Macaca fascicularis: one gene and its partners. Each later gene encodes a partner of the first gene's protein in a complex. Links are inferred from orthologs where the notes say so. Each region holds a gene or a part of one and is shown in the gene's direction. Other genes may lie near its edges.

The links.
Region 2: NUP188 (region 1) and NUP98 share a complex: the UniProt entries of both Homo sapiens proteins name them as parts of the nuclear pore complex. The link is inferred for Macaca fascicularis from reciprocal best matches to the Homo sapiens genes NUP188 and NUP98.
Region 3: NUP188 (region 1) and NUP85 share a complex: the UniProt entries of both Homo sapiens proteins name them as parts of the nuclear pore complex. The link is inferred for Macaca fascicularis from reciprocal best matches to the Homo sapiens genes NUP188 and NUP85.
Region 4: NUP188 (region 1) and NUP93 share a complex: the UniProt entries of both Homo sapiens proteins name them as parts of the nuclear pore complex. The link is inferred for Macaca fascicularis from reciprocal best matches to the Homo sapiens genes NUP188 and NUP93.
Region 5: NUP188 (region 1) and NUP205 share a complex: the UniProt entries of both Homo sapiens proteins name them as parts of the nuclear pore complex. The link is inferred for Macaca fascicularis from reciprocal best matches to the Homo sapiens genes NUP188 and NUP205.
Region 6: NUP188 (region 1) and NUP107 share a complex: the UniProt entries of both Homo sapiens proteins name them as parts of the nuclear pore complex. The link is inferred for Macaca fascicularis from reciprocal best matches to the Homo sapiens genes NUP188 and NUP107.
Region 7: NUP188 (region 1) and NUP160 share a complex: the UniProt entries of both Homo sapiens proteins name them as parts of the nuclear pore complex. The link is inferred for Macaca fascicularis from reciprocal best matches to the Homo sapiens genes NUP188 and NUP160.

The regions. Positions count from the first base shown.
Region 1 is NC_088389.1:14,949,179-14,952,678, reverse strand, and holds part of NUP188 (nucleoporin NUP188), read left to right. Parts: coding exon 1-138; intron 139-812; coding exon 813-882; intron 883-1,289; coding exon 1,290-1,357; intron 1,358-1,754; coding exon 1,755-1,950; intron 1,951-3,500. UniProt on the Homo sapiens protein: Component of the nuclear pore complex (NPC), a complex required for the trafficking across the nuclear envelope. Required for proper protein transport into the nucleus.
Region 2 is NC_088388.1:70,596,318-70,599,232, forward strand, and holds the end of NUP98 (nuclear pore complex protein Nup98-Nup96), read left to right. Parts: intron 1-812; coding exon 813-924; intron 925-1,051; coding exon 1,052-1,269; 3' UTR 1,270-2,415; downstream 2,416-2,915. UniProt on the Homo sapiens protein: Plays a role in the nuclear pore complex (NPC) assembly and/or maintenance. NUP98 and NUP96 are involved in the bidirectional transport across the NPC. May anchor NUP153 and TPR to the NPC.
Region 3 is NC_088390.1:81,621,188-81,624,687, forward strand, and holds part of NUP85 (nuclear pore complex protein Nup85), read left to right. Parts: intron 1-2,228; coding exon 2,229-2,312; intron 2,313-2,438; exon of another isoform or gene 2,439-2,465; coding exon 2,466-2,531; coding exon of another isoform or gene 2,532-2,630; intron 2,631-2,721; coding exon 2,722-2,873; intron 2,874-3,500. UniProt on the Homo sapiens protein: Essential component of the nuclear pore complex (NPC) that seems to be required for NPC assembly and maintenance. As part of the NPC Nup107-160 subcomplex plays a role in RNA export and in tethering NUP96/Nup98 and NUP153 to the nucleus.
Region 4 is NC_088394.1:52,837,994-52,842,045, forward strand, and holds the start of NUP93 (nuclear pore complex protein Nup93), read left to right. Parts: upstream 1-1,252; 5' UTR 1,253-1,335; intron 1,336-4,052. UniProt on the Homo sapiens protein: Plays a role in the nuclear pore complex (NPC) assembly and/or maintenance. May anchor nucleoporins, but not NUP153 and TPR, to the NPC. During renal development, regulates podocyte migration and proliferation through SMAD4 signaling.
Region 5 is NC_088377.1:177,231,740-177,236,009, forward strand, and holds the start of NUP205 (nuclear pore complex protein Nup205), read left to right. Parts: upstream 1-1,470; 5' UTR 1,471-1,487; coding exon 1,488-1,515; intron 1,516-4,270. UniProt on the Homo sapiens protein: Plays a role in the nuclear pore complex (NPC) assembly and/or maintenance. May anchor NUP62 and other nucleoporins, but not NUP153 and TPR, to the NPC.
Region 6 is NC_088385.1:75,448,107-75,452,092, forward strand, and holds the start of NUP107 (nuclear pore complex protein Nup107), read left to right. Parts: upstream 1-1,186; 5' UTR 1,187-1,274; coding exon 1,275-1,282; intron 1,283-3,197; coding exon 3,198-3,289; intron 3,290-3,769; coding exon 3,770-3,856; intron 3,857-3,986. UniProt on the Homo sapiens protein: Plays a role in the nuclear pore complex (NPC) assembly and/or maintenance. Required for the assembly of peripheral proteins into the NPC. May anchor NUP62 to the NPC. Involved in nephrogenesis.
Region 7 is NC_088388.1:17,983,618-17,987,662, forward strand, and holds the start of NUP160 (nuclear pore complex protein Nup160), read left to right. Parts: upstream 1-1,245; 5' UTR 1,246-1,374; coding exon 1,375-1,576; intron 1,577-1,835; coding exon 1,836-1,947; intron 1,948-4,045. UniProt on the Homo sapiens protein: Functions as a component of the nuclear pore complex (NPC). Involved in poly(A)+ RNA transport.

The DNA.
Region 1 (3,500 bases):
TGCAGTGCTGGAGCTGATTGATTCCCAACAGCAAGATCGATACTGGTGCCCACCCCTGCTGCATCGTGCCGCCATTGCCTTTTTGCATGCTCTGTGGCAGGACCGGAGGGACAGTGCCATGCTGGTCCTCCGAACCAAGTAAGTCTGCCTCTGGGAGTAGTTTCATTGTTCTGGTCTATAAAATGGGAGTAACAATAGCTCTTATACCAGAGGTTTGTTGCGACGGTTCACTGGGAATAAGTGCTTAGTGCCTGGTTCAATACCTGGGAGTTTTATACTAATTCTCTTTCTAATGCTGCTGCCAGCATTAAGGATCTTTAAATATTAAGCACCTTGAAGGTTCAACTGCTTTTGTGTTCCTGCCTTTTGCTAACTAGCTACATCAAAACTCATTATTCTTGAGAAACAGTAGATTCAGGAGAGAGGGGCTTGCTGAAGTCACTGGATGGAATGAAACATTCTGTTCTATTGGACCTGCTGGCACAAAGGGAAGGAGTGTTAAAAGGCTAATTGGGAGTCTGCCGTCTTATTTCCCTCCCTCCTCTTCTGTGGGGCTTTTGGGAATCTACAGTGCAAGGAATCTTGAAGAGTTTTTGTTGATCAACTCTATAGTGCACAAGTGTGATTCATAAGAGGAAAATGTAATTTTATCTATGGAAACCTTTCATTTATACAGGACTAACTGACTTATCAGACACATATTAGGATTGAGACTGGTAAAATATGAAGTGACCACCAAAGGGAGCTTGAGAGAGGAGAAAAGGACTGTGAGAGGGAAAAAGTATGATTTCAAACATTTATTTCCTTTTTAGACCCAAGTTTTGGGAAAATTTAACCAGTCCACTGTTTGGAACCCTTTCTCCTCCCTCTGAAACATCAGAGGTAAGCTGTGGAAGAGGGCAGGATGGTGGCTACAAGTCCCTGGGAGGAAAGGCTATGGGCTGTGAGATGGGGCCGTAGACAATGATACCTCCCCTAATTAAACAACAGAATGTTCTCTTCACTAGAAACGTCTTTCTCAGGGAAGTGCCTGGTTTCTGTCCCTTTGATGTCTTGCTTTGGGAAGGAAAGTGGTTTGCGTTGGTGGCTCTGTGGTCTTCTCTGTTCAGTTGGAGACATTGTGGACCTGACGCTTCTGCTCTTGCAAGTCAGGCCATTCACATTCAACAGGGGTTGTACTAACTTGTTCTGCAAGTGTTGGGCTTCTGCTCTGTTCACCGTTGGATATACTGGGGGAGATTAGTGATCAGAGATGTGATCATTGCCTGTTCTGCTCTCTCTCTCCACAGCCCAGCATCCTGGAAACCTGTGCCCTCATCATGAAGATAATTTGCTTGGAGATATACTATGTAGTTAAGTGAGTACTTTCCCCTCTTGAGATTTTAACTGAAGGTTGGAGGAGTAGGAGTTGGTGACCTACCACTGGGTGCATGGCTGGAAAGAGCCAAGGCAGAGGAGAGAACTGGTTTGGAACCATTCATGGAGGCTAGTGTGCTGTGTCCCTGGCCAATCCACCGATGGCATTTATGATTGTCAGAAAGAGTTATTGTGAAACAAACTCCATGCAACTCAGATTTTATGGAGGAGGAATCCTGGAAAGGCCTCAGCCTAACCCACACATTGGAGGTGTCCTGGAGCTGGTCTGCCTTTAAGCCCATGCGAGGTTGTTTTCTCTGCCTCAACAAGGGTCTGTACCCATTATATTCCCATCTACTTTCAAAACCTAACTGGAGGTTTTTTTCTTGACACTGTAGGGGTTCATTAGACCAGTCATTAAAAGATACACTCAAGAAATTTTCCATCGAGAAACGCTTTGCCTACTGGTCAGGGTATGTCAAGTCATTGGCAGTTCACGTGGCCGAAACAGAAGGCAGCAGCTGCACCTCCTTGTTAGAGTACCAGATGCTGGTGTCCGCCTGGAGGATGCTTCTCATCATTGCCACCACTCATGTAAGACCCTTTTGGGGAGAGTTTTCACTTTGATACCTTACCAATGATGTGTTGAGATACCTAGCAGATATAGCTCCTTGTGAGAAAGAATTAATCAGGGTTTATCCCTGAAAGCTAAACTGTAATAGGTTCTATGCTGATAAATTGGGGCTGTGGGGTATTTGAGGGTGTTGGGTCCAAGAGACCATTAAGAGGAGTGCAGAGAAGTGATCTGAAATCCTTTCAGAGTTCCTGAAGCCTCCTGTACCTCCCTTGGGCCTTGGCTGGGTCTTAACTGCTCCCTGGCTGCAAATGCCTCTTATACAAAGGCATAACTGCCTTCTTGTGCTGTGTACCTTGTAGACGCTAGGTCAATAAGTACTTGTTGACTAGTCAGCAGGAAGCTGTGACAGCTGCAGCAGTACCTTCTCTAAAAAGCAGTTTGTCATTGGTTCTAGAAACTGCATTTCGGCCGGGCGCGGTGGCTCAAGCCTGTAATCCCAGCACTTTGGGAGGCTGAGACGGGCGGATCATGAGGTCAGGAGATCGAGACCATCCTGGCTAACCCGGTGAAACTCCGTCTCTACTAAAAAATACAAAAAACTAGCCGGGCGAGGTGGCGGGCGCCTGTAGTCCCAGCTACTCGGGAGGCTGAGGCAGGAGAATGGCGGGAACCCGGGAGGCGGAGCTTGCAGTGAGCTGAGATCTGGCCACTGCACTCCAGCCTGGGCGACAGAGCGAGACTCCGTCTCAAAAAAAAAAAAAAAAAAAAAAAAAAAAAAGAAACTGCATTTCTTGGTCTTAGAAAAAGAACAAAGACCATTGTCTCTGTACTCTGTCTACTGGGAGTTGGTTTTGAGAGAGAGATAACATCTGGAAGAAATGCATTGTTCTTGGCTTTTTTGTGGTTTGACACCATCATACTGTATCATAAGGACTTGGTATTGATTCCTTGGGGTATCCAGATTAACTTTTTTTTTAGATTAACTTTTTTTTTTTGACTTCATGAACAACTTCAGCTTGATAGATGCCTCCTTGTTCCAAGCACCTCCTACATCTGTGAGATTTGTTTCCTAGTGCCAGACTGCCCACATGCCTGGAGCTTTGAGCCTGGAAGGGGCAGGTTTGTGGCTACTGTTGCTGTGGCATAGTGGTTTTGGACTCCTAAGACTCCATAACACACTTAAAGGCTCACCTGTCTTTGAGAATGGTTAATTCCCCAGGGTATAAGCTTTATGTCACCTGCCTTTTAGGCCCTAGTTAGGCAGCAGTTCTTGAATTGTAGCTCTCAAAAATCTCACCATCCTCTTTCCCCCAAGGAAACCTATCTGACTCTCTCTCTCTCTGACCTGTCTACCTATGCAAAAGAAAAGAAAAAAAAAAGAGAAAGAAACCTAAGTCCAAGATGTTGTTCACCCGTTCATTCTCTTAATGGCATTAGTGGAATGCTTCCAGGCATTGGGATACAGCAGTGAATAAGGCAGATAAGATCTTTGATCGCATTGAGAGTGCCCTATGATGGAGGAGGTAAATTATAAACAAATTCACCACTTAAAAATATGGTTTCAGAT
Region 2 (2,915 bases), on another chromosome or scaffold:
CTTATTTAGTTTCTGTCAGTTTCATGAGAGCAAATAATTTGTCTTGCTCTTGATCCTCCTGCTGCCTGCACCCAGCTTTTTTGGTGTTTTAGAAAAGGCTAGGCCAGGCGCGGTGGCTCAAGCCTGTAATCCCAGCACTTTGGGAGGCCGAGACGGGCGGATCACGAGGTCAGGAGATCGAGACCATCCTGGCTAACACAGTGAAACCCCGTCTCTACTAAAAATACAAAAACTTAGCCGGGCGAGGTGGCAGGCGCCTGTAGTCCCAGCTACTTGGGAGGCTGAGGCAGGAGAATGGCGTGAACCCGGGAGGCAGAGCTTGCAGTGAGCTGAGATCCCGCCACTGCACTCCAGCCTGGGTGACAGAGCGAGACTCCGTCTCAAAAAAAAAAAAAAAAAAAGAAAAGGCTATAAACTTGGAGTCAGGGGACCTAAATTAAATGTTGGTTCAGGCTGCATTTTTTACTTCCTGTGTGCTCTTAAGAAGTCATACCATCTCTCTGAACCCAGTTTATCTTGATTTTTGGTGCTGTATTATTAAAGCTTGCTGTATTATTAAAGCTTGCTGTATCGTTCGGGATCTCAAGACTTTCCTAGTCCAAGGCTGTGTACACTATGTTACCTTCCTCTTTATTACTGCATAATTAGTGCCTTGTCCTCCACTAGATGGTGGTGGCTTGACCCTGTGTCATCTTCTTGGATTTTCCCCTCCCTCACCTCACTGTTGTTTCAAGGTTTTGTATAGAGTCTATAGGTGGTGTTGAGTGATAGGAACTCCCCTTGGATTAATTGACTTCTCTGCTTCTTTGTAGGTGGATTGCTCAGGTTATGACCTGGAGCAGTTACACATCAAAGTGACTTCACTGTGCAGTCGCATAGAGCAGATTCAGTGTTACAATGCTAAAGATCGCCTAGCTCAGTCAGGTAAGCCTCTAATCTCCTCACTTTTTCTGCCTTCTTGCTTCCTGTTTTTATCTTACACCCCACCCTCAGTGCCTGCCACCGTTCTCTAGACCCATGCTCAGTGCTTAACTCTAGTTTTTCTCTCTAGACATGGCCAAACGTGTAGCCAACCTGCTGCGGGTGGTGCTGAGTCTGCATCATGCTCCTGATAGAACCTCCGACTCAACACCAGACCCTCAGCGAGTCCCTTTGCGCCTCTTGGCTCCCCACATTGGCCGGCTCCCCATGCCTGAGGACTATGCCATGGACGAACTGCGCAGCCTTACCCAGTCCTATCTGCGAGAACTCGCTGTTGGGAGCCTGTGAGCCCCAGACTCTTTGCATCACACTCACATGCCCGTTCACACTCACCACACAGAGGTTCCCTGCCTTGTTTGGATTGGCACTGTTTGCCATTCTCTGGGTTGGCTATGGCATCTGCCCTCCTTCCCTGCTGCCACAAGCAGCATCCTCCAGTTGTTCAGGGCTTTTCTTAATACTAAACATAGCATAAGGGCTTCTGGAACCCAGAAGAGGAGACAATTCTCTTTTTACCATCCTCAAGACCAGTGTTTTTCCTTTTAATAAATGGTCAATAAAGCTCCTTTGGCAGAATCCCCCAAAGAACCAGGGAATCCTTTTTCACCCCTAGCCATTCTGGATCTTGTGACCCTCCATGCCAACCAGCTACCCTACTCCTACCCTGGCCCTTTTATGCTAGGACTCCTTAGGAGGAGTGAGACAGGTAGTAATGGATCCTTAACAGGTGAACTATCCACAGAAGGAAGAGGGATCCGTCTCTTAAGTAATTGGTTAGTTAACACTGAATTTTGGAGGCAGAGGAGGGTTGGCCTGAGTTAGGAAACAGAATGGGATCTTTCTGACACACTTAGGGCAGAAGTGAATGCCTGCCATGGAGGGATTGATCTTCAGAGCTTCTTTTGTTCCTGCCTTTAGTGTTCCATGAACACCATACCTTTGCTACTACTATGTGCAGGAGCCCTTGGTCATATGTGACATGTCTATGGGAAGCTCCCAGAATTTGGTTTGGTCCCTGGTTTTCAGTCATCTTGCTGAGAGTCTGTCTGGATTTGCCTGAAGAGTTTGGATTAAAAATGGCAGGTTGGGTAACCCTCCCTGTTCATCCCATGTTAGCTCTAAAGCATTTTCCACCCTCCATCATCCCTTCCAGAAGCAAACCATGACTGAGGCAGGCATGGAGTTGGGCGTTAGGGGCAGGCAGAGGGCCTTTGCTACACTGCTGACAGCTATAGGGAGCCCCAGGTAATGGCATGAGATAGCTGGTGTTAGGGCTGTCTCAGGCAATATGGCCACACCTGGGTCTTTATGCATGAAGATTATGTAAAGGTTTTTATTAAAAAATATATATATGTATAAATAAATGATCTAGATATTTTCCTCTTTTTCTGAAGTTACTTTCTTAAAAAATAAATAAATAAAATGTTTATAGCATTCCTGGTATTGGCTTTCCCTTTGTATTTTTGAGCCTTCTTGCCCTGAGGATCTTTATGATGGCCTTGTTTGATTTAGCCTGTTTTTGAATTTGCCTTCTAAATGGAGACAGGCCTTGGGTTAAAGAGAGAACTATTTGGTGCTAAACTGAGAGATAGATTAGCCCAAAGGCTAGATTTATAAGGGGAGATTTAGGGGCAAGGGAGTTGATTATTGATTAATACTGATTGCTGTACATATATTTATACATATAGATTTCCAGGTCTCAAATTGCCCAATAGAATATACCATTCAAAGCCTCCTCGCTCTTCTACTGTAGTGGTTTTGTTTTTAAACCTTGAGTGACGCTTCACCTTTCTAAGTCGGATTCCCTTTTGTAAAGGGGATAATGATCCCTGATGTTACTTCACACAGGGCTGTTTTCAAGAGGAATCAATTGAGTAGCATGAGTACTATTCCAGATCTTATTTTGATTTGTCAAGCTGAAGATATGAGCAAAT
Region 3 (3,500 bases), on another chromosome or scaffold:
ACCAAGAAGAGTTCCAGTTCAATGTCTGCTGAATCTAGAATCTTCTGACTTGTTTTTTGGCCCAGCACACAACCTTGGATGCAGGGTGCAGCAGTGTTTGCAAACCTCACACCCCATTTCCAGAATAGCAGGCAGAGGCTCTGGAGCTTTGATTACTCCAGGGCCCCCAACAAGCAAGATGGGGCCTGGGTAAGGAGTTGACAGTGACCTTAGTACAGGACAAACAGCTCATTTGGGGCTATGGTTGCCCAGGGGGGTCACCTTCATCGTAGCTGGTCTTCCCAACTCCACAGCGTTCTTTCGTTTTCAGTAGAGGGCTACTTCGGAGCTGATAATTAGGCCTTTCCTGCCTTGAATGTTGAGGTTGCCCGCCTGCTCTGCGTCTCAGCTGCTCACTCAGAATCCTTCAGAGAGAGAGAGAGTGTGTGTGTGTGTGTGTGTGTGTGTGTGTGTGTGTGTGAGAGAGAGAGATCTAAGACCTAACTGTATGGTTCAGGCCTGCTGGGCCCTGCGGGGAGACCGTGGTGGCCTTGTGCAGCACTAGGTCTGGTCTCCGTCACTTGAGTTGTATTGTGGGCAGAGGCCCTCAGTGCTTGCTGCCTTCCAGCCTGGGAGGCTGCTGGATCCTTTGGGAAGACACCGGGCACCGTCTCAGCCCTTCCTTCCACTGGCGGGTGACTTTCATGCAGGCTAAGGCTTTGGTTCCCTTAGCCTGGGTCCCCTATAGCCTTTTCACTGGCTTCTCTAATGGTTTTGACATAACCATCAGCTATAAATCTGGGTAGCAACAGCTGTTTTGAGAAGCTGAGGTGTCCTTTCCCCTGGGCCAGCCCACTCCCCATTTTTTTCCCCAGCTTTATTGAGGTGTGATTAACAAAGTAGTATGTATTTAAGGTATACAACTTTTTTTGTTTGTTTGTTTTAAAGACAGTGTCTTGTCCTGTCGCTCAGGCTGGAGTGCAGTGGTGCGATCTCAGCTCACTGCAACCTCTGCCTCCTGGGCTCAAGCCATCTTCTGCCTCAGCCTTCTGAGTAGCTGGGACCACAGGCACTCGCCACCACGCCCAGCTAACTTTTGTATTTTTGGTGGAGATGGGGTTTTGCCATGTTGGCCAGGCTGGTCTCAAACTCCTGAGCTCGAGTGATCCATCCACCTCGGCCTCCCAAAATGTTGGGATTACAGGAGTGAGCCACTGTGCCCAGCCAAGGTGTACAACATGTTTTGATAGACGTGTACATTGTGAAATTAAGCTAGTGAGCACATCCGTCACCTCACATAGTGACCCTTTTGGTGTGCGTGTGGTGAGAACATTCAAAAGCTGCTTTCTGGCTGGGTGTGGCAGCGCATGCCTGTAACCTCAGCTACTGGGGAGGCTGAGGCATGAGAATTGCTTGAACCCGGGAGGTAGAGGTTGCAGTGAGTCGAGATCTCACCAGTGCACTCCCACCTGGGTGACAGAGCAAGACTCCGTCTCAACTACTTTCTGAGCAATTTTTTTTTTTTTTTTTTTTTTTTGAGATATGCTTGTGCTCTCTCACCCAAGTTGGAGTGCAGTGGTGTGATCTCGGCCTATTGCAGCCTCTGCTTCCCAGGCTCAAGCAATCCTCCCACCCCAGCTTCTCGAGTAGCTGGGATTACAGGTGTGTTCCACCACACCTGGCTAATTTTTATATTTTTAGAGATGGGGTTTTGCCATTTTGCCCAGGCTAGTCTTTTTTTTTTTTTTTTTTTTTTTTTTTTTTTTGAGACGGAGTCTGGCTCTGTCGCCCGGGCTGGAGTGCAGTGGCCGGATCTCAGCTCACTGCAAACTCCGCCCCCCGGGTTTACGCCATTCTCCTGCCTCAGCCTCCCGAGTAGCTGGGACTACAGGCGCCCGCCGCCTCGCCCGGCTAGTTTTTTGTATTTTTTAGTAGAGACGGGGTTTCACCGTGTTCGCCAGGATGGTCTCGATCTCCTGACCTAGTGATCCGCCCGTCTCGGCCTCCCAAAGTGCTGGGATTACAGGCTTGAGCCACCGCGCCCGGCCAGGCTAGTCTTAAATTCTTGGGCTCAGGTGATCCGCCTGCCTTGGCCTCCCAAAGTACTGGGATCATGGGCATGAGCTACCATCACACCCGGCCCCATCTCTCTGAGGGATAGGACATGTGGGGTTCTTGCTCACCCCCGCTCTTGTGGGACACGGCCTCTGCCCTGACTCTCCTTCTTGCTTTGGTATCTGAATCTGCAGCATCGCCCTGAGCAACTGGTGGTTTGTGGCCCACCTGACAGACCTGCTGGACCACTGCAAGCTCCTCCAGTCACACAACCTCTAGTAAGTGGCCTGGACGCACCAATCCTCCTCCTCTTACCACCGAGCCCTCGAGGGTGGGGTGAACTGAATGCCTGGAAGGGAGGTTGGGCTGAGGAAGGGGGCCCTGAACAGGGCAGGCCCGGAGTCTTGGTCTTTTGGTATGTTTTATTCCAGTTTCGGTTCCAACATGAGAGAGTTCCTCCTGCTGGAGTACGCCTCTGGACTGTTCGCTCATCCCAGGTAGGAAGGCTCCCACGGGTGCAGGCTGTGCCGTGTGCTCTTCAGCATGCGGGTGCCACTGGAGCTTGGACTGTTCTCTCCAGGTTGGCTCCCTGCAGGCTACAGAAGGGTCAGTGAAAGGGAGCTGCAGGTGCCAGTCCCCAGAGCCACGAGGCAGCACCTCATGTCTGTCTTCCTTGAACCTTTGCAGCCTGTGGCAGCTGGGGGTGGATTACTTTGATTACTGCCCCAAGCTGGGCCGAGTCTCCCTGGAGCTGCACATTGAGCGGATACCTCTGAACACTGAGCAGAAAGCCCTCAAGGTGCTGCGGATCTGTGAGCAGCGGCAGATGACTGAACAAGGTGAGCTGGCCCTGCTCCCAGCCTTACCATCTGTGGGACGTGGGAGTTGGGACCCTGAGGTCACACTTTGTGCCTACCCCAGCCATTCTCCTCCTCACGAGCCACACTGGAGAGAGGTGGGGCTGTGGACGCCAAGAGGTAAACTAAGAGATGGGATAATTATTTGGGAGGGACAGGAAAGCTAGGGATCCTCTGGAACCGAGACAAAATCTACACACCACCTGGAAAGGCGTGAGCCGCCCCTTTTCTCACACACTTGATTCCACGAGGTCAGGGCTGGGGTCGGCGCTATTTCCCTGTCCAGGTGGGTTGCTATTGCTATCTCAGCCAGGCTCAATGGGGAAGCAGTGCTGGAGGTGGCTCCAGAAAAGCAGAGAGAGTGGAATGAAGATGACCAAGTCTGCCCCTTCCTTTCTCCCCTCACTGTTGAGTGATGTAAACATGAGTTACTACCCTGCAGAGAGACAGTTGGCATGTTCACGACCATTTCTGAAAGCATATGGTATTCATGATCCACAGGAAGATAGGATTTGAGGCATCTGGAGAGGTAATAGAAGAGCTGACACGTAGGGAGAAACAAAAATCTTTTGCTACCCTTGAAGCCACACACACTCACGGAGCCAGTCC
Region 4 (4,052 bases), on another chromosome or scaffold:
GGCCATAAGAGTGAAGCCCTCATGAATGGAATTAGAGCCCTTATAAAAGAAATATTGGAGAGATCCCCTCACCCTTCTTCTGTGTGTGGTTACAGGGAGAAGAGTGCTATATTAGTCTGTTCTCATGCTGCTGTGAAGAAATACCTGAGACCAGGTCATTTAAAAAGAAACGAGGTTTAATTGACTCACAGTTCCGCGTGGTTGGGGAGTCCTCAGGAAACTTACAATTATGGTGGAAGGCACCTGCTCACAGGGCGGCAAGAGAGACAGTGAGTGCAAGCAGGTGAAATGCCAGACGCTTATGAAACCACCAGATCCCATGAGACTTACTATCGCGAGAACAGCATGCCAGAAACTGCCCCCCATGATCTGGTTACCTCCACCTGGTCTCACCCTTGACATGTGGAGATTATGGGGATTATAATTCAAGGTGAGATTTGGGTGAGGACACAGAGCCAAACCATATCAAGTGCTATTTATGAATTAGGAGGCAGGCCCTCAGCAGACACTGAATCTGCGGGTGCTTTAATCTAGGGCTTCCCAGCTTCTAGAACTGTGAGAAATAAATTTCTGTTGTGTGTAAGCCATCCAGTCTATGGATGAGTCTGACCCCACTTGTCCCTGCTCACCATCTTCCAGCCACACACCCCTTCTTTCTAGTCTCCAAACACTAAGCTGGCTTCCCCTGGAGACTTCACTCTTGTTCCCTCTGCTTGGAATTCTTTGAAGCCGGAACTTTGCAAGCCCCATCCTTTCTCATCCTTCTTTATTCAGCTCAACATGTCACCACCTCAGAAAGGCCTCCCTTCAACATCCAAGCATTCTCTCTCCCATTACCCTGTTTTTTCTTCATAGCTCTTCTTGTGAACTGCAGTTACTTATTTATTATATTTTGTTTCCCCTGCCAGCCTGGGAACTCAGTGAGGGCAGCGATCTTGTCTGTCGTGGTCGCCACTGTGTTCCCAGCTCCTAGACTAGGGCTTGGCCCTTGGATGGCGCTCAAGGAGTAAGAAATTCCTTTAACTTAGGGAATTCTGGAATCGCTTTCTCCCGGCAGAGCCGACTCTAACCAAGTGGGAAAGGTGAGGTCTGCGGCTGCCTGTGGTCCAGGGGTGACGGTTTGGCCCAAGGCCCTGCCTTCGTCCCGCCCCCGGCCCCGCCCCTGTTCTTGTCCTTCCCCACGGGTCTCCATAAAGTTCATTTGGCGGCGCGCCGCGCGAGGGCTTCTGGGAGCAGCCGGCCTTGGCCAATCAGGAAGCGGGGTAGAGCGGCGCGAGAAGCGGCAGCCGCGTCCTCAAGCCGGCACCTGAGCGGCGGAGACGGCTGTAGTACAAGGTAAGGGTGTGTCTGGTCGCGTTCTTCCGACCCTGGGCTTGTCCTTGAACCCAGGACCCCGTGACTGGGTGGAGCGCCGTACCCACGCTCGGAGCCCCGCAGCTCACACTTCCCGTTCTCCTCATGGCAGCCGGGCACGCCTGACGCCGGCGACACAACGCGTTGTCGAGCCGCCCCAGAAAGAGTCGGGCTGCACCCCTGGGTGTGCCTTTCATTCGCCCACTTTCTGAATGCAGAACCTAGGCCTCCCGACTCCCCCTTCCCCACTGTGGCGCCCTCGCGCCACGCCCCTGCCCTCACCTCCACCTAGTGCCCCGCGAGCCCACCCTTCCTAAGCCTGCGCCACAATGCCTGCCTGCTTACCTTCCTGACCGTGCCCTGCCTGCTCGCCTACCCCTCGTGGACATACCCTCTAGAGAGGCATTGCCCTGCGAGGGAAGGGGTCTTTGGGGCGAGTGCAACTTCTCCCAACCCTTGGCTTACCTTTTGTACATCCAAGAGGATGCTAGTGGTTGGAACCCAGGGGTGGCCCACCCTTCTCTGTGCTTACTCCATCCCGTCCTCTGCAAAGGGGAAGCCCAAGTTCACTGGCTGTCTTTTGGAAAAATTATGGGGCCGGCCCCATGGGTCCTTGGTGAAAGTGTGAAAGACCCGTTGACAGAGTCTCTGGTCTGGGTTTGCCCTTCTGCTAGACGTGAGAAGGAGGTTTTATTTATTTAATCTTTGTTTTGACCGAGTTGTCTTTCAGCAAAAGCGAGGATCACCTTTTTGTATTCTTTCCGGGGGATGTGGGAGGGTATCCTCGGTCATCCTAGCTTTTCTTCTTTATTTTTTTTCTTTAAATCTTCCTTTGTGCATTTGTGTTTGCAATATTTTTATTTTCATTGATGGTGATCTCATAGCATTAAATACCTACATATCAGAGGCTAACAGGTTCCTTATTTATATCTCCATCGCTGGCCTCACCCCTGACCTTTATCCAGCCACCCACTTAATATCTCCGCTGAGATGGATGATAGGCAACTCAAATTAAACATGCCAAGAGAGGGCTAGGAAGCTCCCCTTCATTACCCTCCCCAAACTGCTCCTGTTGCCCTTTCTTTCATCTCAATAATAGGAAAGACTCTGGCTAATAACCTTTGAGCCATCGTTGACTGCTCTCTTTCTTTTTGTTTTCTTTCTTTTTTTTTTTTTTTCTTTTGAGACAGTCTCCCTCGGTTGCTCAGGCTGTAGTGCAGTGGTGCGATCTCGTGTCATCGTGTCACTGCAACCTCTGCTTCCCAGGCTCAAGTGATGCTCCTGCCTCGGACTCCCAAGTAGCTGGGACTACAGGCGTGTGCCACCTCGCCTGGCTAAGTTTTGTATTTTTAGTAGAGACGGGATTTCACCATGTTGGCCAGGCTGGTCTCGAACTCCTGGCCTCAAGTGATCTGCCGTTTCAGCCTCCCACGAAAGTGTTGAAATTACAGGTGTGGGCCACCACACCCAGCCCTCTGTGATTAACGCCACAAATAGTACTTGCCACCCTGGGCCAAGTCACCACCTCTGGTTTGGATTATTGAAATCGTTTCCCATTTGGTCTTCCTGCTTCTGTCCTGGCCCCTATTTTTTGCACAGCAGCTAGAGGGATCTTTTTAAAACACAGGCTGTCAGATTGTATCATTCCTTTACTTAAAAAAAAAAAAAATCCCTCCAATGGGTCCCCATCTCATTAATATGATAGACTAACCCCTTTACAGTGAGCTATAAGGCTTTACATAATCTGACCCACTGTTACTTTCTCAGTCTCATTTTCTGCTCCCTCTCCTTTCACACGTTAGACATGCTTTGGCCTAGGGCCTTTGTGCTTGCAAGTTAATATCCATGTAGTTTGCACTCACTTCTTCCAGGTCTTTACTAGGGAGGTACCTAGTGAGGCTTTCCCCATTTCCCACCTCCCTTCATTGCTTTAGTTGTTCTTAGCACTTATATTTTATGTATTTTTCTTGTGTATTGTTGTCCTCCCCCTGTAGAATGTGAGGAGATTTTTATCTGTTTTGTTCCCTGATGTGTTCCTAGCACCTAGGTCTGGCACACAGTAGGTGCTCAAAAAATATGAACTAGATGAATGTTACTGGCACTCTGGCAGGCATGGGGATGCAGTGGTGAATGAGACAGGCCTGCCCTCATTGAACTGATATGCCTATGGAGGGTACCACTAGCAATAAAAGCACAGATAGGAAGTGTGATGTCAGGGCTGTTTCTTAAAGGAGGACAGGGATATTTGAATAGAGACCTGCTTGAAATGAATGAGCAAGTCATTGAACTATCTGAGAGCACTGCTGGTAGGGGGTAGAGCAAGTGCAAAGCCCCTGCAGTGTGAGCAGCTGGAGATGTAGTGAGTCTGAGGGTCTGAACCAGCTTCTTGATGGACTAACATAGAAAATAAGGTTAATGGATGTGCCAAGGAGAGGGACAGGTTGGAGCAAAGATCTGAAGGTGAGAGGGGTCACTCCTCATGAAAAAGTTTATTTAAAGAATATGGAGTTAGAAGGAAGATCTTTCACAAGGTGTGTTCAGGGAACAGGCCACTTTAATTCAACAAACATGTATCTGGTACCTATTATGTGCCAGACTTAATGCTGAAGACTCAAGAGTTGAGCATCTGTGGACCTTACCATATAGGAAATTTGCCGCTAGAGAGGGAGACATATGTGTGATGAAATAATCACAACTAC
Region 5 (4,270 bases), on another chromosome or scaffold:
ATAACAATGACTTCTGGAAAAAAATCACCAGTGACTTTTGTGTTTCAAACTTAATGTACATTGTGTCACTTGATATTATTTGTCCAAAATAATAAATATTCTGTTCTGGATATTCTTTTTTGTTTGTTTGTTTGAAATGGAGTCTCACTCACTCTGTTGCCTAGGCTGGAGTGCAGTGGTATGATCTCAGCTCACTGCAACCTCCACCTCCGAGGTTCAAGGGATTCTCCTGCCTCAGCCTCCCGAACAGCTGGGGGTTACAGGTGCGTGCCGCCACGCCTGGCTAATTTTTATATTTTTAGTAGAGACGGGGTTTCACCATGCTGCCCAGGCTGGTCTCAAACACCTGACCTTAAGTGATCCGCCCACCTTGGCCTCCCAAAGTGCTGGTATTACAGGCATGAGCCATCGCACCCAGCCAGTTCTGGATATTGTTAACATACTCTGTGCTTTTGTCTAAATTATTTGATTCTAATTTCCAACAGTGAAATGGGAATGATGGAGAGTTGATACAATGAGATTGTAAGGCACATGGAACATCGCTGACATAGCTATAATCAGATCATTTTCCCAATAGAATGGTTTGCAGAGATTAAATGAAATAATGGCTGTAAAATTCTTAATACATAGCTGTAAATAGCAATGATTATATTTTAGTTTGAAAATCAGTAAACTAAAATTTAACAACTGAGGAAAGAGAGTTCAGCTACTTTGGTTGCTCAGGTAGAAACATACTTGGTGATTATGAAACGATATGTCTGGAATTTGTTTCAAAATAATCGGGGGCGGGGGGTGGGGAGGATAAGGTGCTGGGGTGGTAAGGGTGGGTTGGGGCTGCCGTGGTGGGAAATTGGCCACGTTATTGATGCTGCCTGTTCACTATGCTAATTTTGTATCCATTTGAAAATTTTATAGTTAAAAATTATGATTTGTTTCGCTCTACGCAACTATGTTGACACAACATACTTGGTAAATTGAAATGTCACGGAAACTTAGTTTTTAACTGGTCAATGACTTTTTGAGGTGTAGACACTTCACACCTTACTCCACTCCCCACTGTAAGGAAGATTGAACTTGAAACGGAGCTAATGATTTGAATTTACGGCTTTTATAATCTCATAAGTGGGCGTCATTTTAATAACTACTCTCAGAATATCTTTTTCTATTCCACTTTACTTTTTCCTCTCCACTTAACCAATTCATCATTAGAAAGAAACTACAAGTCCCAGGATGCACTACACGATGAACGTCCGATCGAGGACCTCGTGTCTCTGAAGTGGTTGCCCTTGCCTTATTTGAATGGGAATAATCCCAATGAAAATTGATACTTGTGACCCAGAGCAGATTCTGGAGCCTTCTGTACGCCTGGGACGGCCCAGCGTGGAGGGGACAGCCTGGTGCCTTTTTGTTCAGGCTTCACTCAGGGCAGCCTCACCCCTTCCTGGGGCCTCCATGCGGCAGAAGGGCTCTGTTAGTGCGCCTCTAAGATGGCGACGCCTTTGGCGGTAAATTCGGGTAAGTGTGGCCAGACAGAAAGGAGATGATTGAGCTGAGCGATGACCAGGTCTTCAGGGAGAGACGAGACCGTGGGGTTTCTCGGAGTCTAGGACCCAACTTATGTGCGGTGCCTCCTTTTCCCTAATTCTGGGCCTAGAGTCTCACCCCTCCCCAGTTTGAATGGCGCGCGTCGGTGCTGCGGCTCTAGCCCTTGAGTTGGCGTTTGAGAGTCGAGGCAGTGAGGCTTGGGCCGCTGGACCCAGGTGTTTAATCTCTCACAGCCCAGGGCTAAGCCTGGCCCCCTTACCCCCAAGTTCCACTGTGCGTCTGTGGTCCAGATTTCGCCGGAATAGCGTCAGGTCTTCAGCAGTGAAGCCAAAGGACCCGAGATATTTTCCAGCCACGAGCAGAGGCTGAAAGTAGGCGCCGGTGTTCTTAGAGGGTGGGAGATCTTGCAGGCAGCGAATACTCCCGATGATGAAGTCGGCCATCTGAAAGGTGGTCAGGAAGAGGGTGGCGGGGCTTCAGCGGACGTCTCCTAACTCTGCGGGTGTGGTTAGGCCCTGGATATTCTTGTACCTTTGGAGCTGTAGATTTTCGGGGTGGAATTGAATCTAGAAGGTAGTAAAGGAACTCTGGAAGATTTGGGGTGGATCCTCTTTTGGTGATTCTCAATTCGGGCGGTACCGCCCTCCAGTGGTGTCTGAATGAGTGAGTGCATTTTGATTGTCATATTTCCTGGGGTACGCTGCTGTCGCATAGTAGGCGGAGCAAGGATGCAGAAAGTCCTTCATGGGCAGAGCAGTCCGGGGAAAGAATTTGGCGCTTAGAATGTTAATGCCTCGGTTGAGATGCTCAGAACTTCGCGGGCAAGATTAAGAGTACATTTGTGTGATAAATGCTTGTAAGAATCTCACTTAAAAGGACTCTTTCCTGGGTGCATTTTCTGTTTCTTTACAGTCACTTTTTAAAGTATTGGTTCTATTTTCCACAGGACTGATATTCTCGAAAAGTTGTCTAAATCTGCTTTGTAAATCAAATCATTTCAGAAACGCTGTGATAAATTATAATGAAAGCTATGCTTACTGAGCACATACTATATCCCAGCTTTACGCTTATTATTGTGCTTATCTCATTCAGTTGCCCTTTGGAGTAGTTGCTGTTAAATACACCATTTTACAGATTTGGAAATAGAGACTTCAAATAGTTACGTAATGTCCCCAGAGTTAAACATCTAATGATTCTAAGCCAGTCTTAGGTGCTTAAACTACTTAGTGCTACTACTTAAGCACAACCTAATTCATTTTATGATATTAGACATATATTAGAAGGTTAGTAATGAAGTTACATGCTTAATATTGCTGTCCTTCCTTCCCAATTAGATATGCTTAAAAGCAAGGGTTGCGTGTTATACGTGTGGTTATATATAATTTCTCTATTTTATTTTATTTTTTAATTTTTTGTTTTTGAGATGGGGTCTTGCTCTGCCTCCCAGGCTGGAGTGCAGTGATGCGATCCCGGCTCGCTGCAACCTCTGCCTCCCAGGTTCAAGCAATTCTCCTGCCTCAGCCTCCCGAGTAGCTGGAATTACAGGCACGTGCCACCACGCTGGGCTAATTTTTGTATTTTTAGTAGACGCAGGGTTTCTCCATGTTGTCTAGGCTGATCTCGAACTGCTGTCCTCACGCTATCCTTCTGCCTCTGCCTCCCAAAGTGGTAGGTTTACAGGTGTGAGCCAGCGCGCAGGGTATATACATTTATTTTCCTTTCTTTTTTTTCTCTTTTTGAGATGGAGTCTCACCCTGTCACCCAGGCTGGAGTGCAGTAGCATGATCTCGGCTCACTGCAGCCTCAGCCTCCCGGGTTCGAGCAATTCTCCTGCCTCAGCCTTCGAAGTAACTGGGATTACAGGCGCCTGCCACCATGCTTGGCTAGCCTGGCTTATTATTATTATTATTATTTTGAGACGGAGTCTCGCTCTGTCGCCCAGGCTGGAGTGCAGTGGCGCGATCGCCACTCACTGCAAGCTCCGCCTCCCGGGTTCAAGGAATGTCCGGCCTCAGCCTCCGGAGTGGTTGGGACTACAGGCGCCCACCACCGCGCCGGGCTAATTTTTTTTGGTATTTTTAGTAGAGACGGGGTTTTACCGTGTTAGCGGTAAAACCAAGAGTTTTAAAAGCCAAGAGTCAGGAGGTGGTTTTTTTAAAAAACTAAACGTGGTAGGGAAGGAACTCTTTTTCCATCAAGTAATGAATGTCGGGTTGAGTGGGTAAAGGAAATGTGTCATATACATGCAGTATACATAATGTATATGCATATACATAACGTATACATGCATATACATAATATCTTTATGCAGCCTTAAAAAGGAAGGAAATCCTGTCACATAAAACAATGTGGATGAATCTTGAGGACATACTAAGTGAAATAAGCCAGTCACAAGACACAAATACTGCATGATTCCACTTATATGAGGTATCTGAAGTAGTCAAACTCATAGAAACAGAAAGTAGAATGGTGGTTGCCAGGAGCTGGGAAAGGGGAAAATGGGGAGTTGTTTAGGGGGCATAGAGTTTCTATTTTGCAAGATGAAAAAAGCTTTGAAGATCTGTTGCACAATGTGAATATGCTTAACACTGCTGAACTGTACACTTAAAATATGTGGAGATTGCATTCTGTGTTATGTGCTTCCTTTAAATTAGTTTTAAAAAATCAAACATCTTAGAGTTGTAAGGAAAAAATATAGAGATTGTAGAGTTCTAAGACCTATGGT
Region 6 (3,986 bases), on another chromosome or scaffold:
AGAAAAGCTGGCAATTTCTATATACCTGTGAAATCCAAATTGTCACTTGCCTTAAGGTATCAATGGTGTGAGCCCAAAAGTCTGTCAAAACCTCTTCACTTTCCCCAGATCTTCCATGGCACCTCTGCTAAACTCAAGGCTTCAGTTAACATGCTGACTATTGTGGAACCATACATCGCATAGAGTACCTGAACCTGAAATCAATAAATGAACTGATCTACAAATTGGTTATGGCAAAACCAATAAACAAATTACCTTAACAGATAACTCTTTGATTGATAGATTTCTTGATAAATATGGCATCATCTGACTGGAGAATCTGATTCATGAGATCTATGCTGTTGAAAAACTCTTCAAGTTCCTGTGATCCTTCAAATTATCTTCTCCACGAGGGAGAATGACTACCTATTCTGTATTACTAAAAAGTACAAATGCCAGCAACAGAAAAGACCATATCAACAGGCTTATTAAACGGATAAACTGAAGCATCTAACGTTATTTTTGTAATCTGGTCAGTTAATAGCCAGTCGCTACTTTCAAACTGGAAAAAACAAAAACAGAAACAAAAATGTGACTGACTCCTTCAAGACCAAAATATACCACTTTTTGCCTAGACGGCACTTTGAAATAGAGGGCAATACCATCATGTTTTACGCTTGCCTTTCTACTTTTTAATACAGGTGAACTGTTTCTCCTTAATAGAAAAGAATACCAAGTAAAGAACAAATAGCAGTTATGGAAAACAGTTTCAAAAACTGCAGGGGGCTAGAGAACAAAGGACTGAGTGTAGGGAGAGAGATAAGAGATTCCCGAGGTGTGGGGCAGAGCCCACGCATCTGAATTCCAAGAACAGGCGCTTTCTGACAGAGAATACCAGGAAATGACTTCACGTTTTTCCAGACTATCAACATGCTTCATTTTTCCCAGTAGGAGAACCCAGGGCCTGTTCCACGCCCACAGACGTTGGTCAGGCAAAGCGGCCGCAAGGCGTCTGGGCTAAACGCAACCAGGTCCCGCCCCCGGCCCTGTCTGGTCCAGCCAGGCACACATTGGCAAGCTTTTGCGCCTGCGCCCACCGGGCCGGCACCTGTAGGCTGAAGTCGCCCATGCGCTAGATGGGAACGTCGTTTCTTCTCCCCTACCCCTTTTCTGTGGGGCTATTTTAGGGAGAGACTGCTTCCGGGTCGAAGGGCTTGCTTCCGGAGAGCGGGAAGGCTAAAACGCGGTAGCTAAACTGGAGCCGACATTTATTCTGTGTGGAAAAGGCTTTAGCCATGGACAGGTCAGTTCTGAGGATGGCAGCTGAACCCAAAGCCTTGCCCCTCTCGCCTGTTGGCGAAACGAAATAGGTGAAACTAGACTCCCAGAAGAAGCCAAGGAGGTCCCGGGTGCTTCCCCTAAGACTCCTTCCCCATGCCGGGAAATTTGGCTACAAATGGGGAAAGGCCGCTTGGCCTGCGTCGGGTGGGGTACGGATCATAATGGTCCCCTACATTCCCACTACGTTCTGCGATCTATTCGGCGCTTTGGGGCAGCAACACTGATCGCTCCTGGGGTGGGCGGGGTAGGTAGCCCGGCGTTCGAAATGCTAAGTGACCAGCCTGTGATCACAAAGCCAGTCAGTGAAGATACTGGGATCTCAGCTCAGACTTTCTGATTACGTGCTAGCATCAGATACTGAGTTCCCTCTGTGATCTGGGTACTGTGCTAGCCGCCTGCAACAAAGATCAGTTATTCAAGATCCTTCACCTCGGGGAATTAGTTGTGTAGTGGAGACAACCAAGCGGTATAAAGTGATAAGTGTTTGGGGGCGATTAAGTCTCCCTGTCACTCTATCAGAAAGACCTCTCAAAGAAGGTAACTTTCTAGCTGGTCTTTGCATAATAATAGTACATTATTCGTACTCCAAACATTGAGTACCTACTATATGACTGCCATTGTTGGCTTTGAATATATATTATCAGTTTATTTAATCTTCAGAACAAGAGCAATCCTATGAGGATAGGTACTGTTATCCCTTTTTCATATATAATACTGAGACTAAAAGAGGTTAAGGAATTTGCTGAAAGTTAGGAAGCTAATAAATACAAGAACCAAATTGCCAACCTGCCTCTGTGTGTCTCCAGCCTACCTGAGGCTCTTTGAGGAGTAATTAGTTGTTGACCAGGTGCCCAAGGGGGCAAATGTAGGTCTTTGTAAAAGAAACATATTCAAAGGTGCTAGTATATGAAAAACAAAAGTACATGTAGCTCAGTGGTCACATGCAGTATATGTTTAGAGTGATGTTTGTGGCTGAATAGAAGACTGAACGCCTAAACTGGGGTCACATTGTAAATATCATTTTAGGAAATTTGCACTTCTATAAACCAGAGAGAGCTATCTGTAGGTTTTTTGTTTGTTTTGTTTTTTAATTTTAATTATTAAACATTTAAAATTTTTTCTATGGGGTTGTTTCCCATACTTTCCTGCTGAAGGAATATCTGAAGGTTTTAAGTGGAGGAAAAGCATATTAGATTCTTGTCTTAAACACAGGCCTTTTAGTCCACACAATTTAGTTTCTAGACCTTTGAGTGAAACTGACAGAGTGTTGTGATGGGACAGGAGACCTCTTTGGTTGAAATAACTTGAAGGGTCATTTTGCTACAATTTACCAGAATTTTTTTACTTACTCTTCTATCTCACAAGCTCTGTTTGTTGTTGTGGTTGTATCTCACAAGCTCTGGTTGTTGTTGTTGTCTGGTGGTGGTTGTTGTCTGGTTGTTGTTGTTTGTTTTTTAATAGTACCCATGGTTTAAAGCATTTTGGATTCTGCAGAAAATCTTTGAAGAGAGAATTCCTGCAATTAGGTAACTTCTCAATCCAACCAGGGAAATAAGATTCACTTTTATGAAGCAATTACCTAAAACAGTGTTATAATATAGATTCCAAGTGTTGAAATAATTCTTTAGGAGAAAATAACATAGTGAGTACTAGAAAGTCAGAGAAATCTTTGTGCAGGTAACATTTGAGTAAGACTTTGAAGAATAAGCAGGATTTGGAGCCACGAGTGCATTCTCAGCAAAAGATCCAAGACTTGGCTACTGGAATGACCTATATCTTAACTTACTCAGGGTCCTTTACTCCAGCTGTGATGATAAAATTCTTTACAAATGCTATATTCTTGTTTCACTTATATAAGCTTGATTATACTACTTTAGGAGTGGCTTTGGAGATATATCATCCCCTGTAATCCGGGAGGCAGAGGTGACACGGACTGCACGGAAACAGAGTGCTCAAAAAAGAGTTTTAAGTATCCTTTGCGATTTAAGCATCATTATAAAAATTGTAACATGTTTGGAATCAGTGTTATAGAATTTTCTTTTTATAAGAGTATTAAATGTTAGCTATAATAAAATCCTGTAGAAATTTTTTTCACTCCACAGAGCTGTCATTAGGTAAATATAATGCAAAAATTTAATAAGATTATATTTCCTTAAAAATAAAGATATTTCTTACTGCTGACTATCATATTGTGGTTAGCTTCTGCTGAGATTTTTATTATTTGAAAACTGACTAAAAACATTTAGTTCAGTGTGTAGCTATCTAAGACTGACGTCTGAGAATTTAAATGGCAGAAGGAATGGGTTATTTACCCTTTGCATTGAAAAATGGTAGCCGTAAAATACCTTGTTCTTGAAAAATGTATTCACATAATTTGTATAGTAAAAAGATGGTTAATTCTCATTTTAATCTTTTCTACATGGAAAACTTTTCTTAACTCATTGTACAGTTCAGGCATCTCAAGATGAAAGTTTCGGTAATACTACACCAAGAAACCAGGTTATCCCTCGAACTCCTAGCTCATTTCGACAGCCTTGTAAGACTTTTTTGCTTTTAAAGCATTTAATAATAATGATAATTATAATAGCAACTAACATTTATTGTAACATGATAAGTATAGTATTTGGTTACAATATCAATAAACACTAATAATAATGATTGCAGTT
Region 7 (4,045 bases), on another chromosome or scaffold:
CTAGGCTCACTGCAACCTCTGCCTCCCGGGTTCAAGTGATTCTCCTGCCTCAGCCTCCCGAGTAGCTGGGATTACAGGCGTGCATTACCATGCCCGGCTAATTTTTTGTATCTCACTGTTTCACCATGTTGGCCAGGCGGGTCTGGAACTCCTTACCTCGTGATCTGCCCACCTCGGCCTCCCAGAGTGCTAGGATTACAGGCGTGAGCCACTGCGCCCGGCTAATTTTTCTGTTTTTCGTAGAGGCCGGGTTTCACCATGTTGGCCAGGCTGGTCTTGAACTCCTGACCTCAAGTGATCCTCAAGTCTTGGACTCCCAAAGTGCTGGGATTACAGGCGTGAGCCACCACACCCGACCTTGGTGTATAGTTTTCTTCAGGCACGTTCAGCTACAGATTTGAATGTAATCGAAGTTGTTTTTACTGATGAAGAGTTAGGCAATGAAGTAATTTAATGGTATTCAGGATAAGGAAGAAACACCAAAGAAGTGAGGGACAGTGAAGAGCTTGTATAACAATGGATTTCAGGTAGAATGAGGGGGCTGCACTGCCAAAGTTGGTGTCCCAGAGGGAGTGAAGTGGAAAGATAGGAAATGATGGTCGGAACCAGATAAATGAAACGGAGAATGACAGGGAATGGCTGTGGTCACTGGTAATAGAAGTGACCAACAAGCGTTGGCTATCACTAAGGAACAAAACCTTCCCTGCTGGAGATTAGCATTTTCCCCGATTTTGAACATCTACCCCCACAATATCTTCTAAACATCCACTATGGGCCCTTATTGCATTGACAGCCAAGTGCAAGATCACGGTTGGAATGAATGGCAAATTCTTTTCACGTATCCAAGTGAGTAGCACTCAGGTAACCTCAGCAGGTGGCAGCATCAAGGTTTACCACATTACGTTTCATTATACAGGAATACACGAATACAGTCTCTTGGGGGGAAAAAAGACCAAAACCAAAGGCCCTTCCCTCACTACCCCTTCCTCACCCCGCCAACCCAAGTGCCACTGAAGAGCGAAGGGAGGATCGGCAAAGATTTACAGACGGACACCCTAACCGAGGGAGAGGTGACCAAACACCCGGGATCCGGCAGAGGACGCCCAAAGGCCGGACCTCCCCGGACCTCGCCCCTCCTGGGAGACTGAGCCCCGCGTTTTGGAAACAGAAACAAACCCGGTCCCGCCCCCTGCCCTGCGGCCGCTGAGAAAAGGGCACCGCCCTCCGGAGGCGTTCCAGCCGGCCACTCGAAGATTCCAGCAGATACAGTCGGCCTCCCCTGCCCGCTTCTCTTCTGGATTCCCCGCTGCCCATCCTCATTCTCCCGGTGGAAGCCCCGCAACGAAGGACCGGAGCCCCCTTTCTGCTCCCGGGATGCTTCACCCGTCCGCAGCTCCGCCCGCCCCGCCCCCGGAAGTGACGGCGGCCGCGCGGCCCTGCCTTTGTCCCGTCGGGCATCGCGGCGACGGCGGGAAGATGGCGGCGGCGGGATCCCTGGAACGAAGCTTCGTGGAGCTAAGCGGGGCTGAGCGCGAAAGGCCGAGGCACTTTCGGGAATTCACAGTCTGCAGCATTGGTACGGAAGTGGCCAGGGAGGGCGCGATCCGATCTGTCCCCTCGGGCTCCTCTCATGGGTCCTAGGGTCTCTGACTGCTGGGTTCATCCTCCTGAGTCCACATGCCTCCAGCCCCGGGATCAGAGATTCCTTGATGTCCGACGTTTTCCTCTTTTCTTTGTATGGGTTGTCAGTCTGTCACCCTCTGCTTTATCAGGTCCCTTAGTCCCTGTCATTTCTCAGAAGACGCGTGTGCAGGCTGACCACGTTCATTTTGCAGGGACCGCAAATGCCGTGGCTGGCGCCGTAAAATACAGTGAGAGCGCGGGAGGCTTTTACTATGTGGAGAGTGGCAAGTTGTTCTCCGTAACCAGAAACAGGTTCATTCATTGGTAAGTGCTGTGGTTCGCCAAACTCCCCTGGAAGGTAGGGTTTGGTGTGTAAATTTTAGTTGCTGTTCCCAAAGTGCTATTCTAGAAGCGGTAATCGACACTTAGGGAAAGAGAAAGTTTTTTTTTTTCAGTTCGTATCAGAGTCGGGAAAACTGAGACACAGTTCTAGAAGAGTTTACCCTCCCCCCCCACCAATACACACACACACACCAAGCAACACCAAAAGCAGAGGGAATGTAGCTTAGGGGTATAAAGCCCATAAGACTAGTTTTAAACATGAACCCATTATGTTTTTATAGTGCTTTACAGCTTCCTTCATTGAACAAATATGTTCGAGCTTCAATATGTCAGGCATTGTGCTAGGTACCAGGACGAAATGAACAAAACTGCCATCTTCATCATGCAAGACGTTGTAGCAATGTCAGAATAGTTGTGGACTCACTTTTCATGGGGAAATTTTGTGGAGGAAAACTTGCCCTAGAGGAAAAATACAGGGGTTACGAGAGGCTAATGAGAGGACCAAATGTTATTAGTGGGGCAGGAAAAGGCTTTCACAGTTACCCTGAGGTCTAAAGGACACGAGGTTAGCCAGGTATGGGGAGTGGACAGAGAGGAGTCCAGCAAGCAGGATCACCATATGCAAAGGTCACAAAGTGGAAAGAATGTGGCAGGTTTGGAACTGACCAAAGATCTGTGTGGCTTAAGTGCAGTGGGTAAAACAGAAAGTAATGTGAGATACTGAGGCTGGAGAGGTAGGCAGGACTCGGACCATGAGGGACCCTTAGGCCATTTTTAAGGATTTTTGGATTTTATCCTAAGTACATTGAGTAATAATGGAATAGGTTTTTAAAGAGTTACTAACATCAAAATTGCATTTTTGGATGGGAACAGTTAACACTGGGGATTCCAAAAGGAGCGGGGGAGCAGAGGTTGGAAAACCTATCAGTTACTGTGTTCACAACTTGGGCGGCAGGATCATTAGAAGCCCAAACCTCATGTAGATAGGAATATATACACAATATACTCATGTAACAAAGCTGCACATGTACCCCTGAATCTAAATTTTTTAAAATGTATTTTTAGAAGATCTCAGTCTACTTTGTGGAAAGTGGATTTGGATTAGATGGGTATAATGCAAAAAAAAGTTTGCTTTTATGATGGCCCAAGTAAGGGTTGCTGGTGGTTCAATTGTGGGAATGAATAGAAATAGAAAAGTAGATGGATTCAAGATACCTTTGGAAGATAGATTCACTAGGACTTGGTGGTGGATTGAATATGGGGTAAGGGATGGTAAAAGAAAAGGAGAGAACAAGGACAGCTCCCTGGTGTCTCATGTGACTAACCAGATGTGAGTGGGGAGGGGTTGCCATTTACAGAGATCCATAGAAGATGGATTTTGGAAAGATATGAATAATTCTGTTGGACATAGTAAATTTGAAGTACCTGGGGAGCAGCCCTTTGGAAATGTCAAGTAGGCATTGAAATTTACAGGTCTAAGGCTCAAAAGAGAGACTTTATGTTAGAGATACAAATTTCATTTAGTTAAATATTTTGGCTGGGCACAGTGGCTCACACCTGTAATCCCAGCACTTTGGGGGGCTGAGGTGGGAGGATCTCTTGAGGCCAGGAGTTCAAGACCCCATTTCTACAATTTTTTTTCTTTTTTCTTTCTGTTTTTTTTTCTTTTCTTTTTGAGAGACAGTCTGGTGGCTCCATTGTCCAGGCTGGAGTGCAGTGGTGCAATCATGGCTCACTGCAGTCTCCGCCTCCTGGGTTCAAGTGACCCTCCCACCTCAGCCTCCCAAGTAGCTGCAATTACAGGTATGCGCCACCATGCCCAGCTGATTTTTCTATTTGTTTTTGTAGAGATGGGGTTTTGCCTGGTTGCCCAGGCTGGTCTTGGACTGCCGAACTCAAGCAGTGCCCCATTCTCGGCCTCCCAACTTGCTGGGATTACAGGCGGAGCCACCATGGCCGGCCTGATTTTTAAAAATTAGCCAGGCGGGGTGGCATGTGCCTTTCATCTTAACCACTCAGGAGGCTGAGGCGGGAGGATCTGATCATGCCACTGCACTCCAGCTTGGGAAACAGGGTAAGA